5 linked regions of the Cricetulus griseus genome follow. The protein of the gene in region 1 purifies or fractionates together with the protein of each later gene. This does not show direct contact. Links are inferred from orthologs where the notes say so. Each region holds a gene or a part of one and is shown in the gene's direction. Other genes may lie near its edges.

Region 1 (4,085 bases):
AGGGAATTTGCTATCTCTGCCTCCCAACTCAATCCCAGTAGGTGTGCTGGAATTACAAATGTTACACTACGTCTGACTTGTCCCAACGTTTTCCTTAGACTTGCATGACAAGTGTTTTATTCATTGAGCTATCTCTCAATGTCCCGTGTTGTCAAACCCCCCCCCCCCCGTGTGTGTTTGTGTGTGTGTGTGTGCGAGCACGAGAGAGAGAGAGAGAGAGAGAAGAGAGAGAGAGAGAGAGAGAGAGAGAGAGAGAGAGAGAGAACACTTGAGCATATATATGTGTGGAGGTCAGAGGTTAGTGTTGGGTATTATCTTCAGTTGCTTCTCTGCCTTGTTTTTTTGAGAGAAGGACTCATTGAACCTAGAGCTCACAAATTGGTACACTGACTTGTCTGTAAGCTTCAGGGGTCTTCCTGTCTCTGCTTCTCGAGAGCTGGGATTACAGTTTTATATTCCTGTGCCTAGTATTTTATGTCGGTGCTGGGAGTCCAAACTCTGGTCCTCTGCTTGAGAAAGAATCCCTTTGCCATTTGAGCCATATCCTCAGGCTGTTTTTGTTGTCATTTTTAAGATTTAATTATTAGATGTGTATATGTGTGCCTTTATGAACACCCATATGCCATGAGTATATAGGTGTGGTTATGAATTACCTCATGTTTGTTGCCACCTAGTCCTGGGTCCTCTACAAGAATGGGATGCACTTTTAACCACTAAGCCATCTTTCTGCCCTCCCCCCACACCCATCAGCCTGTTTTTGTGTTTTGAGGCAAGACCTTGTTGAATCTCAGGCTGGTCTCAGGAGCAGATTGGTCTTGAACTTGGTGTGGTGCCTGCTGCCTCTGTCTTAAGAATGCTGACATTCTAAGCATTTAGGAGGAAGAAGATCCAGATTTTAAAGGCTGTCCTTGGTTATATATAGCACGTTTAGGGTTTGTCTCTGCTACATGACATCATGCCTAAAACAAAACAACATACAAAAAGTTTTATTAACAAGACTATTAAAACAGTATTGAAAAATTTCTTTCAGTATCTCTTAAGATGGACTACAGAAGCTTAGGTAATTGACTTGGTCTGAAGTAGCAAGCATATGAGAAGGTGTAGTGCATGGTCTCACATTTTAATTATAAAAAATTCTGAACACATGTAAAACTAAAGAGATAATAAAACGACCCTTTGTGCTCTTATCAAGTGTCAGTAGTTCCGTTGCCTGTTCTATGTGTTTGTTCCATATGTATTCATACTCATTTTAGATTGTTTAGAGACAGATTACATTGTCTCATTTTTTGCTTTTTAAGGTGGTTTCTTTGATCATGTCTAAATAAAATAACAGCAATTCCTTAGTAAATATCAGATTAAATTTACTCTATTAAAAAAAGAAATTGATGACCCTGACTCTCCTTGTAACCGTTTTTCTTCTGATTGTTTCCATAAGGTCCGAAAGGCTCTTCGGAGTGCAGAGGCGTATGATAACTTTCTGCGCTGTCTTGTTATATTTAACCAGGAGGTGATCTCTCGGGCTGAGCTTGTACAATTAGTCTCTCCTTTTCTGGGGTAAGTGAAGTGAGGAGCACAGCTTCTAGTACTTCTGATACGATAATGCAGAGATTGTAAAACAAAGGTAATTGAGTAGTTGTCAGAAATGACAGTGTCAGAAGGTGCCTTATAAGTCTTCTAGTATAACTTTCAGGTTGGGAAAACAGGTAGAGCTCGGCTTGGTGGCACATGCCTTTAATTCCAGCACCATAGAGGCAGAGGCAGGTGAATTCAGAATGACCTGGCTTACAGAGAGGACCACCCCCCACACCTCCCACCTCAAAAAAAAAAAAAAAGTGTTAACAGTGTATCAGCTGTGATGCGGCACTCATGGTCTCTTGATTGTCTGACCAGCACTACATGTTTATAGGCACTGATCTTCCAGGGCTCTAGAATTTTGATTATATTTGCCATCCCGGGGATTATATGAAAAGTGAGGCAATATTCTAAACAATGGCTTCTTAGCTTCTTACTGTCTTGTTGGAAAATACTACATAAGGAAAATGGAACTTAACTGGTTAAAGGATGCTTCTCAGGTAGAAAATAATTATTAACTCTGGCAGTAGAGTTGTGACCCACCATGAACTGTAATGTTGTTCCTCATAATAACTGCATCCTGCCTTGAATTGCTTACCAGCTTTTGGTTTTGTTCTTCAGGAAATTCCCTGAATTGTTTAACTGGTTTAAAAACTTTCTGGGATATAAGGAGTCTGTACATCTAGAAAGCTTTCCAAAGGAACGAGCTACAGAAGGCATTGCAATGGAGATAGACTACGCCTCTTGTAAACGACTGGGCTCTAGCTACCGAGCCCTGCCAAAAAGTTACCAGCAGCCCAAGTGTACAGGACGGACTCCTCTGTGTAAAGAGGTAAGGGTCAGCCTTGGATCTTCAGCTTCTTCAAAGCAGGGTATTGACAGATAGTACTAGGGCCAGAATTTTTTAAAGTTTTCATTTATTTTTAATATGTGTATATGTATATGAAATGTGGTCTGCTTGTGGAGATCAGAGACAACTTGTCAGTTGCTTCTCTCCTCCTACCATCTGGGTTCCCAGGATCAAATTCAGGTGGTCAGGTTTGATAGCAAGTGCCCTTATTTATCTGCTGTGAACCCTGTCTTACAAGAAAGGCCAGGATTTATATGAATTGTGAAATCATGAACCTTTTTTCAAAAGAAAATTTGTATTCAGAACTTTCCCTTACTCTATTCTTTTGTGAACTGTTTTAGTTTGGGTTTCTATTGTTCTTGATATAATACCATGCATGACCAAAGCAACTTGGGAAACCATCTATTTTATGCTTCTGTATCATTGTTCGTCACTGAAAGAAGTCAGGAGAGGAACTCAAGCAGGCCAGGAACCTAGAGGCAGGAGCTGGTGCAGAGGCCATAGAGGGGTGCTGCTTACTGGCTTGCTCAGCCTGCTTTCTTATGGAACCCAGGACCCAGCATGGAACCATACACAATGACTTGGAATCCCCTCCCCATCACTCCATTCCCAGTTAAGAGGCCTAGCTATTCTTCCACAGGTCCTTAGTTCAATTCCCAGCAACCATGTGATGGCTCACAACTATCTCTAGTGGGATCTGATGCCCTCTTCTGGCATAAAGGAGTATGTGCAGATAGGGCATGTAATTAAATAAATAAATCTTTAAAAAAAATTGAAAAATTTAAAAATTTTTCCGATCTTATAGTCTGACCTTATGGAGGCAATTTCTCAATTGAGGTTCCCTCCTTTCAACTAACTCTAGCTTGTGTCAAGCTACAAAAAAACTAACCAGGACACCAAATATTTTTTCCTCTCTATAGTATTGTCTTTTTATTGAGAATGTTTAATTACCAGTAAGTTTTAACAAGCTTTTCTGCCTCTTTTTCTACCCAAAGGTTTTAAATGATACCTGGGTTTCCTTCCCATCATGGTCTGAAGATTCCACTTTTGTTAGTTCCAAGAAGACTCAGTATGAAGAACATATTTATCGTTGTGAAGATGAACGATTTGAGGTATCCTCCTTTGTGATTTGAAGTTTGGGGAACAAGGAAGATGTGAAATGAAGGGGTATTTAAATACTCTGTGTGAGGCAGCTTAAAAAAAAAAGTGCCCTAGTGCCTGTAAGAGTTACATTTTAAAGGGGATGGCTGGGATGGGAAGATCTAGAATGAATGAATCAGCTGGTAGAGATATCCCTTATTGCAGGAAGGGAATTTCTGAAACTAGACTCAAACATCTCCAGTATTCAGATGATGTTTACTAATACCACACCAAAGGGAGTCAATTGTATTTTGCATATATGTGTTTGACTTAGTATGTTCATTACACTGTGTTGACTGGGTCTGCTTCTTCAAATCAGTGGGAGAGATCTCATACAACATTCCTCTTCAGAAGAATCACATGCTGTCTCCTCACTGACTGGTGGTTGCCATCTTTTCCCCATCTCTGTTACCGTTCTATAATTGTGATAAATCTCATTATCAAGACAACTTATAAAAGAATTGACTTGGTTTAAAGTTTGAGATGGGAGTTCATGTGGTACAGAGAAGAACTATCTGAGAGC
Region 2 (4,639 bases), on another chromosome or scaffold:
TCCAAGAAATTAAAAAAAAAAAAAAAAAAAAAAAAAAAAAAAAAGGAGCATCATCCTTCTGGTGTCAATTCTGGGAAAGAGATTGAGACCTGAATGTAACCTCCGGGATCACTCGAGGACCACCTCACTGGGTTCTGTCAGTCCATCTGTGTTTGCTTTTTCACTGTTACCGTTCCTTGCCATACAGATTGTTTATTCTTTTCCTAAGGAGGCCTGGGCTGAGGTAGACAGCACTACAGTGAAAGCAGTGTGGCTGCCTGTCTAAAGGATAGAGTGGGGGCAGCTTCTTGGCCTACACAGAACCTTGCTCTGTCAAGTCCCAATACCACAGGAGCCCTGATTGTCTCCACCAAGGCTCACAGAACCCTGGAGAGCAGCTGACTGGGAATCATGGAGCCAAGACCAGATGCCAGGGCTCCTCATCCGGAGCACCAGGTTGCCCAAGAGTGTGGCGACAACAAACCTGCTAGGCAAGGCTAGCCAAAGGTCAGGAACCTGACACAGCCAAGGACCTCCCATTTCCCTCATACCTCGCCTCTAACCACTGAAGACAAATATCCAGGGCAGAGAAGCGGCGTGTTAGCAGAGATGTTTCCAGTCGCACCATAGGTGGGCCACACCTGCAGACCAGGCAGGGGCTGGGGGCTGGGAGTGGGGGTAGCTGCTAGCCACCTGTGCTGGGAAATTCACACTTCAGCTGCACAGTTGATTGGGGGGGGGGGAGGGGCAAACAAGGATGACTTCGAGGTCAGACATATCTGTGCTCTGTCCCTTCTGGTTGGAGTGACTTTGAGCAGGTCACTTCTCTGGGAAGTTCTCAACATTACAAGGGAAAGTGATCCATATAGAGTGGGTCCTCAGTAACTGGCAGCCTTGTAAGTAACAATTTTGCAAGGGCCAGCAGGCCCAGCCCCTCTGGAGCTATTGGAGCACAGAATGGGAGCAGGGGGCTCTGGAATGGCCTTCCTCCAACGGGGCCTCTGCACTGGAGTCACAGGAGGGGGTACCTCCTAGACTGTACAATGAGCAAAGTCCCCCAGGGACCTGGCTCCCTTCCCTGCAGCCTGTTCCTTACCGACAACAGGAGCAGAGCCCCAAGGTTAGGCAAACACAGCAGCGATAAGGCACTTCCAGGCTGGGTCAGGCATTCAAGGCCTTAGCTGGCTTTCTCTGGCTGGCTCCTTGGCTCAGTGAGAACCCTGGTCTTGTGTGCATGAAAGTGGGCTCCAATCGAAACAGCAGCAGTCACAGCCACTGGCTGGTTGAGCACCTGAGACCTTGGTGCCCTGGTACAGCCTGGGTTAATGACCTTGTTTATACACTGAGTCATCCGATAAAGGGCATCCAGGCAGTGGGCAGGTGGCCCTGTGCCCTGCAATGGCCACTTCATTGACTAAAGCGATAGCAACGCCACGTGGAGCTCCAGTGCCCCTCCCCCTCCGGTCCTGCCAGGGTCAGTGTATGTGTGCATTGTGTGTGTATGTTGGCTTTTTTTTTTTTTTCAATGAACATGACTTCTGGAGTCAAGGTTCCACGGCCATTCCCCCTCCCGCCATCGAGGATATAAATAGCACTCACAGTACAGAGGACCGATAGCTGGGAAGAAACAGGAGCGAGATACCAACCATGAACTCCAGCCAGTCTGGGGGCTGCCCCTGCCAGGGCTCTGCAGGCCGCCCTGCTATTCTGTACGCGCTTCTAAGCCCCAGCCTCAGGGCCAGGCCCATTGCACCCGCATCTCGCAGCCACTGCCTCTGCCAGCAGCACCGGCCTGTCCGTCTGAGTGCTCCACAGCGCACCTGCCGGGAGGCCTTGGATGTCCTAGCCAAGACAGTAGCGTTCCTCAGGAACCTGCCGTCCTTCTGCCACCTGCCCCATGAGGATCAGCGACGGCTGCTGGGGGTCTGCTGGGGCCCTCTCTTCCTGCTTGGGCTGGCCCAAGATACTGTGACCTTTGAGATAGCTGAGGCTCCAGTGCCCAGTATACTTAAAAAAATCCTTCTGGAGGAACCCAGCAGTGGTACGCAGGGTACCCAGCTACCCGACCGGCCACAGCCCTCACTGGCTGCCGTGCAGTGGCTCCAGCGTTGTCTGGAGTCTTTCTGGAGCCTTGAGCTGGGTCCCAAGGAGTATGCCTACTTGAAAGGAACCATCCTCTTCAACCCAGGTGAGCTCCCAGACACTCCTGGATGGGGGCCACGCTGGGAGGGGACAGGACCCGTCCAGGAAAAGAATCGTTGTCTCTTTGCGTCCTTGTTAGCTCCAAACAGGTATCTCCCAGGAGAGACAGGGAGGTTAAGCAACTACCTGAAGGCCACACAGTAAGGCAGAGGCAGAACAGGCCTGGGAATGCAAGTCAAGCTAATGCAGAGATTGGTCTTTGCCGCTGTGCTGGAAGGGTAGAGTGGGTAAGGCAGACACCGCCGTGTGCAGTGTCTGCCTTCTTCAAGGGCAGGCTGCACAGTGAAGTTCTGAAGGTTAAAGTCCTCCGTGGGTTCAGAGCGGCCACACAGAAAGAATGGAAGGGTGGGGAGTGGTCACTTCTTGGGTGGAGAGCAGATGGGGTGGGGTGAGGGGCGATGAGGAGAAATGAGGCGGTTTTACCACGGAACCCTGGCTGGCCTAGAACTCACTACGTAAAGCAAGTTGACCTCAAACTAACACCATGCCTGGCATGGGAAAATATTCTTTGTAACTTTGAGGAAGACAAGAGACAGGCCTTGGAAGTTAAAGTGTAACGCCAAACGGCAGTAACAGTACCAAAGAATCACATGCATTTCCCATATGTCAGGACTTAGCCTAAGGGTTTTACAAATAGTGATTTGGTTAAACCTCACAGCAGTAGTGGGCAACAAGTATTGTCATTGTTCCCACTAGATAGATGAAGAAACTAAGGCACAGAGATTTAAACTACTCATCTAAGGTCACTCAGAAAGATGAAACTACTTGTCCAAGATCACTGAGCTCACAGTGGCAGTGCTGGGATTCAAATTCAGCCAGCCTCGAACTCACAGAGATCCGCCTGCCTCTGCCTCCCGAGTGCTGGGATTAAAGGCCTGCCACGAACAACCGGCCTCTGGTTCTTTTTTGGTTTTGGCTTTTTGTTTTGTTTTTTGAAACAGAGTTTCTCTATGTAACAGCTCTGACTGTCCTGGAAGTAGCTCTGTAGACCAGGCTGGTCTTGAATTCACAGAGATCTAACCGCCTCTGCCTCCCAAGTACAGGGATTAAAAGTGTGTCACCACCTCGAAAATCTGTCTCAAAAAACAAAATAAGAAAAGAATTATTTAGATATTATTTTATGTGTGTAAGTTTCTACCTGTATGTATGTGTATCATCTGGTGGGAGCTCACAGAAGCCGGAAGAGGGTGTCAGGAATTGGAATTATAGGCAGTTGTGAGCCACAATGTAGGTGGGAACCGGACTCAGGTCCTCAGTCATAGCAGGAAGTGCCCTTAACCACAGAGCCATCTCTCTAACTCGTATGTCTCAGCCCTTATCTCCACATAAATGGAATAAAATGTAGGAGATGGTGATTGAAACCTCCAAGGTGGCAGAGTGGGCCAATGCGTGGAACTCATTAGTAAAGTATTACCTCCCGAGCTACAGGTCCTGGGTTTGTTGCCTAACACCACCAAACAATTAGGTCTCTTCTGTATCTGTAAGGGCTGGGAATGTAGTTCAGTGGTACAACTATCGCCTGGCATGTTAAAGGAACCAGCAATGTTCAGCCCAAATGTAGAATGCCTGCCAAGCATGCCCTAGTATGCACGAGGCCCTGCATTGCACCCCGGCATATGAGGGGGGGAGCCACTAACATTCTCACACCCTGGGCTAGCCTCCACGGAGCAGCTGCTCACCAGCCCTCTTCACCCTCTCTGCCACAGATGTGCCAGGCCTCCATGCCTCTTGCCACATCTCCCACCTGCAGCAGGAGGCTCACTGGGCCTTGTGTGAAGTCCTGGAGCCCTGGTACCCTGCTAGCCAAGGCCGCCTGGCCCGAATCCTCCTCATGGCCTCTACTCTCAAGAACATTTCATGCAGCCTTCTGGTGGATCTCTTCTTCCGCCCTATCATCGGAGATGTTGACATCGCTGAACTGCTGGAAGACATGCTTTGGCTGAGGTGACCTGCAGAGTGGAATCCAGGGCTTCCAAAGGGGAGCTTCAACTCCCCAGGAGCAGCCCTCACCTCAGCCATGCCCCCAGCTTGGACTTCCTTGGTTTGGACACAGTATACTAACTGCCTAATAGGTCCTTGGTGGCCCCCCAAAGTCTTTGGGCCAGGGACAGAGATGGGAGCATGAATGAGGCTGTACTTCAGGCCAGAATTCCTCCTGACTTTGTATAGAACTCAATTAAGTTATTGATTTTTGTAATAAAAGGTATGACCTGCTGACACCACGGTTGCCTATGGAAGGGGCAAGCCGTTCTTCAGGGTGCATGCTCCTCTTGCCAGATGGAACTCCTGGAATGTAAGCAGAAACCAGCTCCTTAGTGTTCTAGAGAGGGACAGTGACCTCAATGCTGGGGACAAGGTTTATTTTACAACTGAATGAGAAGCCACCAGAAAGCATCCTCTTACTACCTGCCACCTTCTTGCCCTTCTCCCTGAGCAGAGGGACTTTCTGTCCTTGTCT
Region 3 (4,587 bases), on another chromosome or scaffold:
CCCCATCCCCTCCCCCACACCCCCACACAACACTACTGGCTATATGACCAGACCCTCAGAAAATTCCCTGTGTATTTTCAGGAAGGATGAGGTGGCCTCCTCCTTGGTTGGCCCGAGTGACTTGAAGCAATAAAACTACAAATCAGTCCCTAAAAAGTCGTCTGTGGGTGGCCTAAGGGCCTTTCTCTGTTGCCTCAGCCTACAAAACATCCAGAACAAGCCAGAGAAGGGTTGCCCCAACCCATATTTTCCTCTTTAAGCCCCTCCTTCCTCGGTGTACGGGGGGCTGGGGGCAAAGACTGTTACTTCTCCTGTCAGACCTCCGTTGTCTCTCCACCCTCTTTATTCGCAAATGTACCTCCACACTGGCTTTCTGTCCCTTGTCATGCACTCATGCACTCTACCTCCCGCTGCTGCGCAGGCCTTCCAGCCCAGGCCTTTCCGTTTTACCCAGTGTGTTCTCCTGTCAGGACTTTCTCCCTAAGGTCCCCTTTCACATACCCCTCCCCTATGCGGGTCCCTTAGTTCTCCCATGCACGTCTTCGATACTTCTTCAATCCAGTCTTCGATACTTCAGTCCACCTCGACCGTGATCTCTGCTGAATTCTGACCTTGCTTCCTGCAGACCCCGTTCAGCATCCTGCTCGGTATACCAGACCCTGCGGCCTGCCAGACTCAGCTTAGCATTCCGTCCCGGGGCCGGCACCTTGCTCCGGGATCCACCTCAGCATTCTGCGCAGGAACTAGGAACCTGCTCAGCTTTCCGCCCCTCGACGGGACCCTGTGTCCCTCCTGTCTTGGTACAGCATCTCGTCCCCGCAATGGGCACCCCGCTCAGCATCCCATCCCGGAGTGGAGACGCTGCGTCCCTCCATATTCTGTTCAGCATTCATCCCCGGAGTAGGGACCCCGCGTCTCTTCTGACCCAGCTCATCATCTCGCCCTAGAGCCAGGACCTTGCTCACCATCCTCCACTGGCCCAGGACACCCTGCATTCTTCCAGACCCCGCTCAGCATTCTTCCTCGGAGCGAGGACCCTGCTCACCATCCTAACTGGGACCAGAAGATCTTGCATTCTTCCAGACCCACACCACAGCTAGGACTGAACCTGCGGCCCGTTCCCCTCCCTCGCCCGGGTAACTCTTCCCTCTTGCACTTTCTCTACTTTGAACCCATCCCAGCAGAGTCCAGGAAGTAGCCTGGCACCGGAGACCGGCAGCGGCGGCGCCCAATGGGGAACGCCAGCGGCGACGAAGGCCCCGCCCATACAGAGAATACGGCCAATATGCGCATGGAGGCGGGACTTCCGCTGTGCCGCGGCGGGCGGGGGAGCGCACTGTTGTGGTGCGGCGCGTCGGGCGGGCGGCGGCCGGGGCGGCCCAGGGGCTGCCGCGGGGACTCGGGGCGCCGCCGAGCGGCAGGGCGCTGGGGCGGGCCGTGAGCACCGCGGGGCCCGGACACGGCAGGTTCGAGGCCGGGCCCCGCGCGAGGAGCCGCGGGGTGGAGACTTTGCAGAGCAGGCGGGAGCCGGCGGGCCTCGGGAGCCCCAGGGCGGCCGGGCCCGGATCCCGGGGGAGGCTCGCGAGCCCGGGCCGGAGCCTCAGCGTGTGCATTCCCGGCGGGGCCCGGGCTGCAGGAGCACAGAGCAGCCGGGCCTCGCGGAGCTCAGAGCGCGTCTGACCCGGGGCGCACCGTGGGACTCGGGCGCGGGGCTGACGGAGAGCTGCCCCGCGGGGCTCACAGCGGCGGAGTGGCCTACAGGGGCCCTCCCCCGGAGGGGCCGGGCCGGGGCGGGGAGATGAACGGCTTCAGCACCGAAGAGGACAGCCGCGAAGGGCCCCCTGCCACCCCCGCCGCCGCCCCGGGCTACGGCCAGAGCTGCTGCCTCATCGCGGACGGCGAGCGCTGCGTCCGGCCCGCGGGCAACGCCTCCTTCAGCAAAAGGGTGCAGAAGAGCATCTCGCAGAAGAAACTCAAGCTGGACATCGACAAGAGCGTGAGTCTCGGGGATCAGCGCAGGGCCGCGGGCAGGGACCCCGGGGACGCTCGGTGCGCTGGGCCTCGCCGCGCGGTCTGTGCAGAACAGGAGACTCAGGATCGTGGAGGCCGCTCTGTGCTCCGCGACGCTGCCCGCATCCCAGAGGGTGGGCTGGGGGGCCGAGGAGGGCTCTGCACACTCTCCCTGCCTGGGAAAGTGACAGCAGTTTCCAGCTGTCACTGTTGCGCCGGATAGTAGAACAGAGAGAGGTGGGCTACTTTTGCAAGAATTTGGGGATAAGAGTTGACGAGGGGACCCGGAGGTTCTTCTCCAACTTCGTCCTCCCTTCAGGGACGTTGTCGTTCTTTCAGACACTAGCAAGGTGGCCGCGACTTTCCTGTCTCCCGCGGCCTCTGTGTCTGCAGCGCAGCACAGCCCGCTTCGCTGGCAGCGAATGAATTTTTCTGAGATGTAGCAGAAATAAGGCCAAGGCCAGGTCTTAGATGACTCTTGCAGTGGATGTGATTGGAGGGAGGCGGGGAATCAGTTTTCTTGATGGGTAACATATTTGGTAATGCAGACGGAGGCGGACATTTAAAATTGAATGGGATTGCCCTGCGCCTTGTGGCTAATTATAGGAAACTTCCTGAGTGATTTCACCTGCTCTTGTTAACGGTTATGTGCTTACTGCCAACCAGTTACGAACTTTTTAGTCTGACATCTGTTGCTGCAAGCCTTGAGTGGCAGCTTCCAGATTAAGAATTGGGACTGGGTTAAGGAACTTTTAATATTCAGGGAACTTGAATGATTAATGACCCACGTTTAGGACAGTAGTTCTCAACCTACCTAATGGTGTGACATTTTAATACAGTTTCTCATGTTGTGGTGACCCTCAACCATTAGATTACTTCTTTGCTACTCCATAACTGTAATTTTGCTACTATTATAAATCGTAATGTAAATATATGATATATGACCGGGGGGGGGGAATCGCGACCCACAGGTTGAGAACCACTGGGTTAGGGCACTCAGATATTGCCTGTTACCTGAAAAGGGAGCCTGTTTTATGCTAATGATGTGGCAGAAACTGAGGCTGGGGTAGGAAGCGATGATGCAAATGCACACTGCACTTAGGCGCTGGCTAATTTCCTAGACCAATTATCTGGCTTGCTTCCAAGCCCTACACCCAAGTTCCATTTGCCTTTAATAAATAAGGTCAACATCTTTTCTTCTAGACTCTTCTCTTGCACACTCAGTTTTATTTAGTCAGCCAGTATAGTCTGGTTCTTTTTGAACAGTGCTTTTTTTTTTATGATTGGGACTTTTTTTTTTACAAATATCTATTGATAAATTAATGAGGAATGAATGAATTATTCTGAAGCAAAAACCGGCTAGACAGTAAGGTGTCCCCTGATAATCACATGTGGGAGTGAAAAGGGAATTCTAGAATGGTAAAGAATTTATTCACTTGGAAACAGTGCCTGACTTTTCTGTGGACTGCTGGCAGTATTTCGATAAGTAGTCTCACATCTGGATGGTTTTGTTGTGGCAGTAGGGACTCCATTTACCCACTCAGCCCATGGGAAACCCCTGTGGAGCAGTGTTGAGCATCACACAGATCATCTGGTCTCCCAAAGGCTGCGCTTGGTAAGGTGTGTGGTTGGAAACAGTTCCAGTCCATTTCAAGGTGCTGGTGGGAAGAGTTTTTGTTTCATCCCACAGACTTGGGCAGGAATCCAATCCCAAGTTACTACTGTGTTACAATCAGTTTTAGCTGTTGTAGCAAGTGAAAAGAGAGGGAAAGAAAGACAACCACACACTGAGCCTTTGCCCCACCCCCATGCCCCCACCCCACCCACAGAGGCCTCTGAGCCCTGAAGTTGCTGAACATGGTTAAGGACAGAGAAAGGCTGTCTCCTAAAAGGATCTAGTGGGCACCCTTTTAAAATAAGATACCACAACCCTTCAGGTCGGACACTGGCAGCCTCTGTAATGTGTAACCAACTTGCAGTGGGCATGTTTCTCCTTTGCTTTTGCAGAGTGGCTGAAGTTGGGAATAGTATGAAGGAAATGTAGCAGGAGAAAGGGGACATTTACCAAAGCTTGGTGGGAGGACCTTGGGTCTGACATCTTCCATCTAAGATTTAGAAACACCTCATTCTGCTGCTCTCTGTTTAGCACTACACATGAGAGAAGCAGCTTGCTCTCTCAAGAGGCACATGCCAATATTACCAACCCAAGTGCCAGCTGCCAGGGGTGGGACAGGGATACATGTTCTGTAGTCTTGTATCACCTGAGTGTTACTCTTTAGGACAGTGGCACATACTTACATCTGAAAGTTTGTTGCCAAAGTGGAATCTGGCAAAGCCATCCCAGTTTGTAGCCGTGTAAGAGGTGACTCTCACCAGCATAAACTGTTTTCAGGTATGAGAGTGCCTATATTGGTGCATCAGCACTTATTGAGCGCCTGCTGTGTGCAAGACAGCATCACAATATAAATTCCAAATGACTCATGACTCACTAAAACAAACTAAAACATGACTCACATGAAACTGATAATCGTCTGAATAAACAGTTTTTGTTATTTCCTCCATAAAATGGCCTGAATT
Region 4 (4,878 bases), on another chromosome or scaffold:
ATTGGAAACTGTTAGAACTTTATCCAGAGGTTGAGGCAGGAGGGTGGGGAGTTCCAGGCATGACTAGGCTAGGCTCTTTCTCTTCAAGAAAGGGTTTCCTCAATTTTGCCCTGGCTTTCCTAGAACTTGCTTTGTAGACCAGGGGGGACCCAAACTCAGAAATCTGTCTGCCTCTGGCCTTTAATTCCAGTGCTGGGATTAAAGGCATACACCATCATGCTGGGTGTGCTTAGACTATCTTTCTTTCTTTCTTTTTTTTTTTTTTTTGAGACTGGGTTTCTTTGTCTTGGCCCTTGGCTATCCTAGAACTAGGTTTGTAGACCAGGCTGGCCTTGAACTCACAGAGCCTCTATCTCCAGAGTGCTGGGACTAAAGGTGTGTAACAACCATCCTGGCTGGACTTAGATTGTCTTAAAGTCAAACGAAATCAAACTACAGTGAGAACTCAGAAATCACATAGTGAGGTTCATAATGGATCAGGTCACCTTCCCAGCTGAGCTGGTTGGGGCAATTTCTACCTAGGGGACGTGGCTGGAGGCTGCAAGCTTCTAAGGAATCGCTATGAGAGCAGAGACCGGGAGTGGGCTACCTACACCTGTGTGCTAGGCTTCCACGTGTATGGTAAGTAGTGAAGCCAGCATGCAGCCGAGCCCTTTAGCAGGGCTGGGAAAAGAAGGTGGAACCCATTCTTGGATCAGAATGTTGGGTGTGTGTCATGTGTCATGGCGGGGGGGGGGGGAGAGGCAAATCCAGGCCAACAGGTCCCTTTGGGAATGGAGAGGATTGTCTGGAGGTAGCCTGGAAATCCTAAGCACTGCAGCTCTAGGTTGTGGAAAGTGCCCTGGCTGAGGCTACCTGTTGTGTTAGGTGTGTGGCCTGATGGCTCTGATGGGACAGACATCAACTCCCTTTGCCGCTCCCACAATGAACGTGTGGTGGCTGTAGCAGACGACTTCTGCAAAGTACACCTTTTCCAGTATCCGTGCGCTCGAGCCAAGGTGAGTCTTTAGAGGACCGTTGGGCCCCAGTGGGTAGTCTTGGGACCCTATCACTGCTGTGACTGTACATTTTTTTCTGGTGCAGGCGCCAAGCCGTATGTACTCAGGCCACGGCAGTCACGTGACTAGCGTCCGGTTCACGCATGACGACTCATACCTCGTCTCCCTAGGTGGCAAGGACGCCAGTATCTTTCAGTGGCGAGTGTTGGGCGCTGGGGGCTCTGGGCCCTCTCCTGTCACGCCTTCTAGAACTCCCTCTCTGTCCCCTGCCTCCTCCCTGGACGTGTGATGAATGCTGGATGGTTTTGTCCCTCTGGTACTGTGGCCTTGCCCCGCCCTGGCCAAAACCCCTAGGACCAAGTGCAGCCCTTTTCCTGGGCTGGCTTTTTCTTTGATTTCAGTACATTCCCAGTTGCGCATTTTCCTGGAGGGGCGAACCGCCCCATTGCACACACGATAACGACTCGCTGGCTGAACCAGGCAACCCCAGCTCTGACTCCCTTTGCCTGGTGAGGGGCAATAAAAAGAAAGAAAGTCACCGCTTGGTGCTTTTGTGGAGTGCGGCGGTTGCCTCAGGGGCCCGGTAGGGTTGGGATGAAAGAAAAAAGTGCAGGGCGGGAAGGGAAAAAAGGAGCTCGGACCAAATATGCAAATAACAGGCAAAGCGGCTTGCAAATAACCTCAAGAAGCGCGAGGGTGCGCGCGCGCCTTGCGAGGCCACTGTCGGAGCTGCAGGGACACATAGAGTAAAGAGTTAAATGCGGCTCCCTGCCGCCCTCGGGGGCGGGGTCGAGCTGCAACGGAAATAACCGAGCGCGGGGCCGCGGCTGAGCGAAAAGAGCCGAGTTCCTTCCGGAAGTGGCCGATCTGCGGGGTCTTGCTCTCCGACCTGAGCCGAGCGCTGGGCCTTGTTCTCCGGATCGGCCGAAGGTGTTCCGGAAGGAGGCGAACCCGGACGCGGGCAGGGCAAACCTTCTCAGGGGCTGGCACCATACGGCGTCTGCTGGGACTCGGTGAAGACGCTAGGAGCCGGAATCTGTCTCCGGTCAGGCAGGAACCGAGCTCGTTCCGGAAGAAGCCGAGCAGACCGGCGCCGGCCTGGGTATCCCGGGCGTGAGGCTATAGCAGTGTCGTCGTGGTCTTCGTGCGAGCAGTGATGAACCGCGACGGCTGAGCGAGCAGAGGTGCCGGCTGCGCGGGCCCCATCGACACTTCCGCGAAGCGTCAGCCCCACGCTGGGGGCATCGTCTGGAGCTAAGCTTTACCCCCGCGAGCCTCCGGGTCCTCTTTGTGCGGCCGGAGGCCGCGGCGGGAACGGCCATGGCGGCTAACATGTACCGTGTGGGAGGTGAGTACACCGGGCGGAAGAGGTTGGGGACGGGACCAGGGAGACTCGGTGTCCGCAGGCGCGGGGAGCAACATCTGGGGTCGTAGGGGCCACAGCGCCGACCGGAACCGGAACCGAGACCTATGGTTCCGCGGCGGCGACGCTACTGGGAGCCGAGTCTCCCGCAGAGGCTTACCTACAACGATCGGTGCTCTTGAGTCTGCGACTGGATCCCGGGGTGGGAAGTAGGCTTGGTTTGGAAGGGGACTGAGTGACTGCGGGGCCAGCTGCGGGGAGCCAGTCGCTCAGGGGTTTTCTTTTCTTTGGCGGCTTGTTCGTTCACGAAGGTGAGGCCTGAGGTGGGGGGAACAATTTACTCAATTCTCCCACGCAGGGGTGCAACTCCAATGCAGAGTTGTGTGGACTACAGGGAAATCCTTGTTATCTTTTTCCCCCTCCTCTCTCACTTCTTGGTTTTTCGACTCTGTCTGTCTGTCTCTTTGGTTTTTCGAGACAGGGATTCTCTGTAGCTCTGGCAGTCCTGGAACGCACTCTGTAGACCAGGCTGGCTTCGAACTCAGAGATCCTCTTGAGTGCTAGGATCTGACTTTTGAGTGAGAATCTGATTTTAGCGCTAAGTGTTGCAAGGGTGGGAGTAAAAACTTTTCTCCCTCCCCCCCCGCCCCCCCCCCCCGGCTGTCTTAGAACTCAGGAAATAGACCAGGTTGGCATCGGACTCAGATCCACCTGCCTCTGCCTCCCTCTGCTGGGATTAAAGGTGTGAGCAATCACTGTCTGGATAATTCTTTTATTTCTTTTCTCGTTCTTTTTTTTTTTTTTTTCCTCGAGACGGTTGATACTTATTTTCTTTTGTTTTCTCGAGACAGGCTTTCTCTGTCTATCCTTGGCTGTCCTGGAAATTGCTCTATAGACCAGGCTGTCCTCGAACTGGAAGAGATCTGCTTACCTCGGCTTCCTGAGTGCTGTTGGCCACCACTGCCCAACTAATACTTTTCTTTTGCGGGGGTGGGGGGATGGGGGGTGGGGTTCGAGACAGAGTTTCTCTGCGGCTTTGGAGGCTGTCCTGGAACTAACTCTGTAGACCAGGCTGGTCTCAAACTCAACAGGGAACCACCTGCCTCTGCCTCCTGAGTGCTGGGGTTAAATGCATGCGCCACCACCTTCTCTAATACCTATTTTCTTTTCTTTTTTTTTTTTTTTTTTTTGGTTTTTCGAGACAGGTTTTTCTCTGTGTAGCTTTGGAGCCTATCCTGGAACTCGCTTTTGTAGACCAGGCTGGTCTCGAACTCACAGAGATCCACCTGCTTCTGCTGGGATTAAAGGCGTGCATCACCAACACCCAGCTATACTTCTTTTCTTAAGTCTTTCCTCTTGCACATCTCCACATCTCTACCTAGCATTTTGTCTTTTTTTGGTCCACCCAAATCCACTTTCTCTTCTGGGTGCTCTGGTTTTCTTCTGATCTTGTTTCTCCCCACCCCCTTCTACAGATTACGTCTATTTTGAGAACTCCTCTAGCAATCCTTACCTGGTTAGACGGATTGAGGAGCTAAACAAGGTGAGTGGAGCAGAAATGGAGCAGTTTCTTTCTTCTGGAGTCTAACTCCAAGTGGAAGGGAGAGCCAGCCTTACCTAGGCTTAGAGCCTATACAGGTGAGCGAGCGTTCATTCCATGTATAGAGCTGCTGAGAGCTTAGCTGAAGCTTTATCATTCTCACATCTGGGGATAAAAGAATCCTGTCTCTGTTGTTTTTTTTTTGTTTTTTTAAATATACAGTGTCTATTTTGCAGCCTTGGTTGCCTGGAACTTTCTGTGTGATCAGGTTAGCAAACTTATGGAGACCCATCTCATTGGTCCTGTAATTATCTTTGAATATTAAGTCTTCATTGCTGAGTTTTTGGCCTCTTCTACTTAAGTCCTTAGAGAGTGCCTGTTAGTGTACCTCCACTTTCAAATGGCTAATTTTCATTGCCCTGTTTTTCTTCCTTCTTTAGACTGCCAATGGCAATGTGGAAGCAAAGGTTGTCTGTCTCTTCAGGAGAAGGGATATTTCTAGTAGCCTCAACAGCCTGGCTGACAGTAATGCTAGTGAGTGTCTTCATTCCTTCCCCTTTCCCCCCTCCCCAGGATCTGAGGACTAGACTTGTTCCTGCAGGTGTTTCCCCTGGTAACACGCCCAAGGCAGGGTATGAGTTTGGAGGTGGGAAGTGCCTGGTCTGCAGAGCAAGGCCTGTTGTTACATGTTGGGGCTGGGGCTGGAAGCCGGGTGGGGAGACCATGATCAGAAAAGCCAGAATGTGGTGTGTGTGTGTGTGTGTGTGTGTGTGTGTGTGTGTGTGTGTGTGTGTGTGTGTGTGTGTGTGTAAGGAGAGATACTTAGATAGGGAATGAAAAGAGCTTTAGAGAAGGCACGTGGGGACATTTTGGGTACTTTGGGACAGTGGTTAGTGAGCGATGGTCAAGGTGGAGAGGAAGATACTGTTTTGAGAATCCTGCATAGTAATGGGGGAGGCTTATCCTGTCGTCTGGAG
Region 5 (4,857 bases), on another chromosome or scaffold:
TTTACTTCTTCTTTTAAAATTATTTATTGGTGCCCTGTTAGCCTGGTTGGTTAGAGCATGGGTGCTGATAATAATGTTTATTTATTTGAGACTTGATTCTACTGAAGCCCAGGCTGGCCTTGAATTCACTAAGTAGCAAAGGATGGCCTTAAACTCTTGATCATCTTGCCTTCTGAGTGCTGGGATTACAGGCATATGGCACCATTCCCAGCTGTTTATGTTTCTTGTGGGAAGGCACCTGTATCTTTCTTTCTTTGCCTTCTTAGTTTTTGTGCCAGCTCTCTGTACCTTGCTAGGTTCTCTGTCAAAGGGATGTGTAATGAACACGAGTAAAGGGGAGCAGAGAGCCAGCGAGCAAGGCATTACAGGGGGTCTTCAGTTCATGTGGTGATGATGGGATAGCCATAGGGGCGGCCTGGACTTGAGAGAGGCAGTGGAGAGGACTGCTGGAATGTTGAGAAATAGTTTTTGGATGGGGGTTTATAATTAGTATGGGATGTTCTGGGTCAGTTAAAGTTCATGCAAGTTTTTCATCTAGTAATATATTATTTGTTTGGTTTTACACAAACTTTCAGAGTGGGAGGTAAGCATCTGGGATATACCTGGATTTTGATTGGATTGGATGGGGCTGTAGGTTGGCTCTCTGTTCCTGAGTGTCTGGAAACGGTGAGCTAGGGAGCCCAAGGTCCTGAACATTGAGAGGCTTCTGACCAGAGTACTTACTCCTTTCGGGCAGAAAGGGAATAAGGTGTGTGCTAATGGGGGCGGGGACAGGGCAGTTAGTAGTTTGCCACACCCTCTCTGCTCTTGGGTGTTTGGAAGAGACTGACAGCTTCTAGAGATGGGGGAGGTTGTGACTATTATGGGATGTCCGGCCAGAAGACCTGTGTGAGGTGGTGGAGTGCAGCACAAGTATTACTGGACGTGGCACTCGGTTGTGTTGGCCGTATTATGGTGTCATGGGCTGTCCAAATAGATGGAGTAAATGATGGGACATTGCCCCAGTGTTAGGGGACAGGAGATTTAGACGTCTGTCCATTTGTGGGGTGACAGTAGAGCTGCTGCTGGTCATTAGTGAGTATCTCTTTGATAGGGAGGAACGTAATTTATGGGCCTTGGAGCTAGAAAGACCAGGAAGGCTGGGGGTGGTGATGTGAACATCTAGAACACCCTGAACACCCTGGTGTGCGGGGACTGAGGGCAGCTCTAGGGGGTTGGCTATTATGGGATATCAGTGTAGAAAGTGGGAGACTGATTATTACGGGATGTGTGTGGGAGGAGGCCGAGTGTCCGTTGTAGTGTGGGGTGGGTGAGTTTCTGACAATCATGGGATATCAAACTGGGGGTGGATGAAGGGTGGTTATTATGGGATGTCAGTGGGGGATGGGGTTGAGTATTATGGGATATGAGGCTGAAGTGATGGGAGGGGTGCTTATTATGGGATGGCCAAGGGGAGGGAGGGGTAACGAGTTATTATGGGATGTTAGCAGTAGAGCCAAGAGTGAAGAAGTTGGCAAAGAGTGGTTATTATGGGATATCTGAGGTGGGGAGCAGGTTTAGTTTGTAAAGGTCTGCAGTATATGTCAGTAGCCCCCGGGCACATATATGCATGGAGTGTTGGGGGCGGGGTGTGTGTATGTGGGGTGTCCGTGTGTATTATGGGATGGCCAGGAGGTGGGCGGTTGCCCGGGTGACGCGCGCGCGCGCTCGACGGGGGCGTGGCCAATGGTTGCCTGAGCGACGAGGGGGCGGGGGTTGCCCGGGAGACCTAGGGAGGAGGGTGGCGGTAGTGGAGGGGGGGTTGGAGTTGGTTGAGGTTATTATGGGCTGTCCGTGGGGGGGCGGGGCCTGTGCGGTGGGATTTCCCGGCCGGTGTTTCGGGCCCTTTAAGAGGCGACGCCGGAGCCGGAGCCATTTTCCCCCCTTCGGCCGCGGTGAGGAGGAGCCGGAGCGGGAGTGACACCGGCGAGACCCAGCGCGACCTGAGGCGGCTCTAGGGTGAGGGGAGCGCGAGGCTCCGGGAGAGACGTCTCTCACAGCCCGACATCATCTTGAGGGGTATCGCTTCACCTGTCCCTTCCTCCTCAGGCGTCCCGGGGCCGGCGGGCCGTTCCCGGGCCGGGGAGCCGACCCTGTTCCTCCTCCCCTGAGGCGTCCGGGTTGCCCCCAGGCCGTCGCCCTGCCCTGAGGGAGTCGTGCTCCCCGCGCCCCTCTCCGGGGCTCGGCCTCCCACAATGCCGGGCGCCCGCCCCTCGCCCTTTGCTCGCTGGCCCCCCGGGACACGTGGCCCGGCCCCCTTCTCGGTGGGAGCTCGTCTCCGCCGGCGTCCCGACTCCTCGGGACCCTGGAGCGCCCGAGCCTCCACGCCCCCTGGTCCCCGCCGTTCCGGAAGAGAACCCGAGTTGTCCCAGAGGGACAGCCTTTGGAGAGCTGCCCTGTCTGGGGACTGGCCCCTCCCCGGGCTCAGAGAGGCGCCCCCCCCACTCCCAAGTGACCTTGTGTCCCCGAGCACCGGCCGCCTCCCTGACCCCTCCGCGCCTCGCCCGCCACTCGGACCCCCTCCTCAGGCTCCCCCGGTTCACTCTCGCCCAGCGAGTCCCCACCCCACCGTGCACCAGCCTGACCTCGGGGGCATCGCTCCCTCTTCGTGGGGGCTCCTGCCGGGGAGCCGGCTCGCGGGCGGGCGGTCCCCGAGGAGTGTGGAACTAAGTTCAGCCTGAGTGCTTCGGGTGCTCGGCTGGGGTGGCAGGGCCGGGGAGGGGGGGGCGGAAAGAGCGAGTGGGGGAGGGGGACTGCGCGTCACTCACTGTTCTCCCCCCTCCCCCGCACAGTGACTCGGGCCAGTGTAGAGGGCCCCAGGCCGCAGGCAGGAGCAGCTGGGCCAATTCCCTGGCCGGGGAGCGGAAGGGGATGGCGTCGGGCCTGGGCTCCCCGTCCCCCTGCTCAGCGGGCAGTGAGGAGGAGGATATGGATGCACTTCTGAACAACAGCCTGCCCCCACCCCATCCAGGTAACGTCTTCCCAGAGCGCCCAGGGCAGGAAGTGTTTGATCTTTCCTGGAGACTGGAGTGAGGCTGGGTGTGCGCTTGTCTCCTGCCTGCAGAGCCCAGGGCGGAGGGCATCCGAAGGGAGTGGTTCTCTTCTGCGGAGCTCTTGTGTCTTGGGAGGGGGGAGCCATGCGCCTCCTGGCCACCGCGGACCCAGATGTAAGCTGGCTGTACTCAAGGCTGTCTGGAATACTCCGCAGTTCCCAGTTGAGGGAGCTCTCTGGGCTAGCAGGCATTTACCTTGTGCAGGTTCTTAGGAATGCAGGTGGCTGGGACTCCTGGAGACTGGTGACACGGTGGGGAGCGTTGAGATTTCTGTTGTAGGAGCCCTGCCAGGCATTTGGGATCCCGCAGTTGTTCTCGGGAAAAGAAAGTGGGAGTGTTGGTTGGTTGCTCTCTGTCCGATTATTTTTAGCTTGTAATCAGTTACCGGTTTTCTGCGCAGTTTCAGGAGTGCGAAGTTTGAATCTCGCTCCTTGTCGGATCTAGAGAACTTTTAGCTAGGCAGATTATTGGGATTTTTTTGAGTGAGGAAGGGATGGGGGGACTAGGAGGATGCAGTACCCGAGTAAGGAGAGGCAGAGTGAAGGAAGGGGACTCCTTTTCCCCCGGAGTGGACATAATCCTGGCTTCCTTCCTAGAGGCTTCGGCCACTCCGAAGTAGTTTGGGGTCTGGGTTAGTGGTGTGAGGTGTTTGTGTGGGTGTGTTAGGGTTTGCACTATCGGTGTTTTGGGGTGGCTCCTTGGACTGGCCAAACCCGTAAAGTTATAACCAGCTTGCCCAAGTGCCTGTTCTCAAGTGATGGTTGATGTCATGCTTATAAGTGGATTTCTTCTCTTGTCTCCTTATTCAGAGCCCCGTAGTTGAGACACCTATTGGTTTATTGACTCCCTGTTCACTTAAAAAAATTTTAAATTTAAATTAAAAAAAGCAAGTCCTTCCCTACCATTCTGGAGTCTGGTGGTCTTGATTTTTTTGTTTTTGTTTTTGTGGTTTTTCTATGTAACAGCCCTGGCTGTCCTGGCATCTGCTTTGTAGACCAGCCTGGCCTCGAACTCACAGAGATACAATTGCCTCTGCCTCCTGAGTGCTGGGATTAAATGGTGTCCACCACCATGGCCAGGCCTGTTTTTGTTTTTTATGACATGGTTTTCACTTCTGCCTTTTCCTTAGATCCAACTGGATTTTGAGGTAGCCCAAAGAAATGCTTTTTAAATTAAATTTGCCTTTTTCTTTTCTTTTTTCTTGAGACAGGGCTTCTCTTTGTAGCCCTGGCTGTCCTGGAACTCACTCTGTAGATTAGGCTATCCTCCAACTCACAGAGATGAACCTGCCTCATGAGTATTGGGATTAAAGACGTGTGCTACCACTGCTCAGCAAATGTGACATTTTCTGATTTGAAATTATTTACTTCACAGTCCCAGGCCATTTAAGAGAGCTGTTACCTTTGGCCACTGGGATAAGGGACTTAGATTTGCATCTCATCACTGAGGTGTAAGGCTGCAGATTCCTGTGCCTTTATGGGGTGGTGGTAAGGAAGAAGGCTTACTTTCCTTCATATTCTTTGTGAGGGGCAGGATGAGTAGTGCTGTCCCACCAGTGTTGGTCCTCAGCGTAGCCTTTGGGCTATTATCCCTTTGGTCTAGGGCTTTCCTCCCGAGTTGAGTGTGAGCTATGCAGTCTCTCAGTGTGAACTCTGCCCCACTGTGTAGCTTGACCCAGTTTTTCCACATGACACACCCAATTTGCCCCTTTCCCAAATCTTCCTTTCTGTCTCCTGCAGTGTGTTGCTTGTCATTTCAGCGTGTG

The links. Proteins that work in one complex are often made in the same cells at the same time.
Region 2: the proteins of Sin3a (region 1) and Nr0b2 purify together in Homo sapiens (affinity purification with western blotting; 3 studies listed by BioGRID). This does not show direct contact. The link is inferred for Cricetulus griseus from reciprocal best matches to the Homo sapiens genes SIN3A and NR0B2.
Region 3: the proteins of Sin3a (region 1) and Sap30l purify together in Homo sapiens (affinity purification with western blotting; 4 studies listed by BioGRID and IntAct, with this or other methods). This does not show direct contact. The link is inferred for Cricetulus griseus from reciprocal best matches to the Homo sapiens genes SIN3A and SAP30L.
Region 4: the proteins of Sin3a (region 1) and Mta2 purify together in Homo sapiens (affinity purification with mass spectrometry; 4 studies listed by BioGRID, with this or other methods). This does not show direct contact. The link is inferred for Cricetulus griseus from reciprocal best matches to the Homo sapiens genes SIN3A and MTA2.
Region 5: the proteins of Sin3a (region 1) and Chd4 purify together in Homo sapiens (affinity purification with mass spectrometry; 3 studies listed by BioGRID, with this or other methods). This does not show direct contact. The link is inferred for Cricetulus griseus from reciprocal best matches to the Homo sapiens genes SIN3A and CHD4.

What each region holds. Positions count from the first base shown.
Region 1 is NC_048597.1:168,627,387-168,631,471, forward strand, and holds part of Sin3a (paired amphipathic helix protein Sin3a), read left to right. Parts: intron 1-1,435; coding exon 1,436-1,554; intron 1,555-2,193; coding exon 2,194-2,404; intron 2,405-3,417; coding exon 3,418-3,534; intron 3,535-4,085. UniProt on the Homo sapiens protein: Acts as a transcriptional repressor. Corepressor for REST. Interacts with MXI1 to repress MYC responsive genes and antagonize MYC oncogenic activities. Also interacts with MXD1-MAX heterodimers to repress transcription by tethering SIN3A to DNA.
Region 2 is NC_048595.1:19,710,248-19,714,886, reverse strand, and holds Nr0b2 (nuclear receptor subfamily 0 group B member 2), read left to right. Parts: upstream 1-1,626; coding exon 1,627-2,167; intron 2,168-3,887; coding exon 3,888-4,129; 3' UTR 4,130-4,391; downstream 4,392-4,639. UniProt on the Homo sapiens protein: Transcriptional regulator that acts as a negative regulator of receptor-dependent signaling pathways. Specifically inhibits transactivation of the nuclear receptor with which it interacts.
Region 3 is NC_048600.1:71,857,952-71,862,538, forward strand, and holds the start of Sap30l (histone deacetylase complex subunit SAP30L), read left to right. Parts: upstream 1-1,574; 5' UTR 1,575-1,798; coding exon 1,799-1,996; intron 1,997-4,587.
Region 4 is NC_048596.1:51,151,835-51,156,712, reverse strand, and holds the start of Mta2 (metastasis-associated protein MTA2), read left to right. Parts: upstream 1-1,865; 5' UTR 1,866-2,318; coding exon 2,319-2,346; intron 2,347-2,619; exon of another isoform or gene 2,620-2,672; intron 2,673-3,836; coding exon 3,837-3,904; intron 3,905-4,341; coding exon 4,342-4,435; intron 4,436-4,878. Other genes in the region: Eml3 (echinoderm microtubule-associated protein-like 3), read left to right, coding at 523-621, 868-998, 1,084-1,287. UniProt on the Homo sapiens protein: May function as a transcriptional coregulator. Acts as a component of the histone deacetylase NuRD complex which participates in the remodeling of chromatin.
Region 5 is NC_048601.1:21,330,844-21,335,700, reverse strand, and holds the start of Chd4 (chromodomain-helicase-DNA-binding protein 4), read left to right. Parts: upstream 1-1,844; 5' UTR 1,845-1,998; intron 1,999-2,035; exon of another isoform or gene 2,036-2,058; intron 2,059-2,831; 5' UTR 2,832-2,910; coding exon 2,911-3,010; intron 3,011-4,857. UniProt on the Homo sapiens protein: ATP-dependent chromatin-remodeling factor that binds and distorts nucleosomal DNA. Acts as a component of the histone deacetylase NuRD complex which participates in the remodeling of chromatin.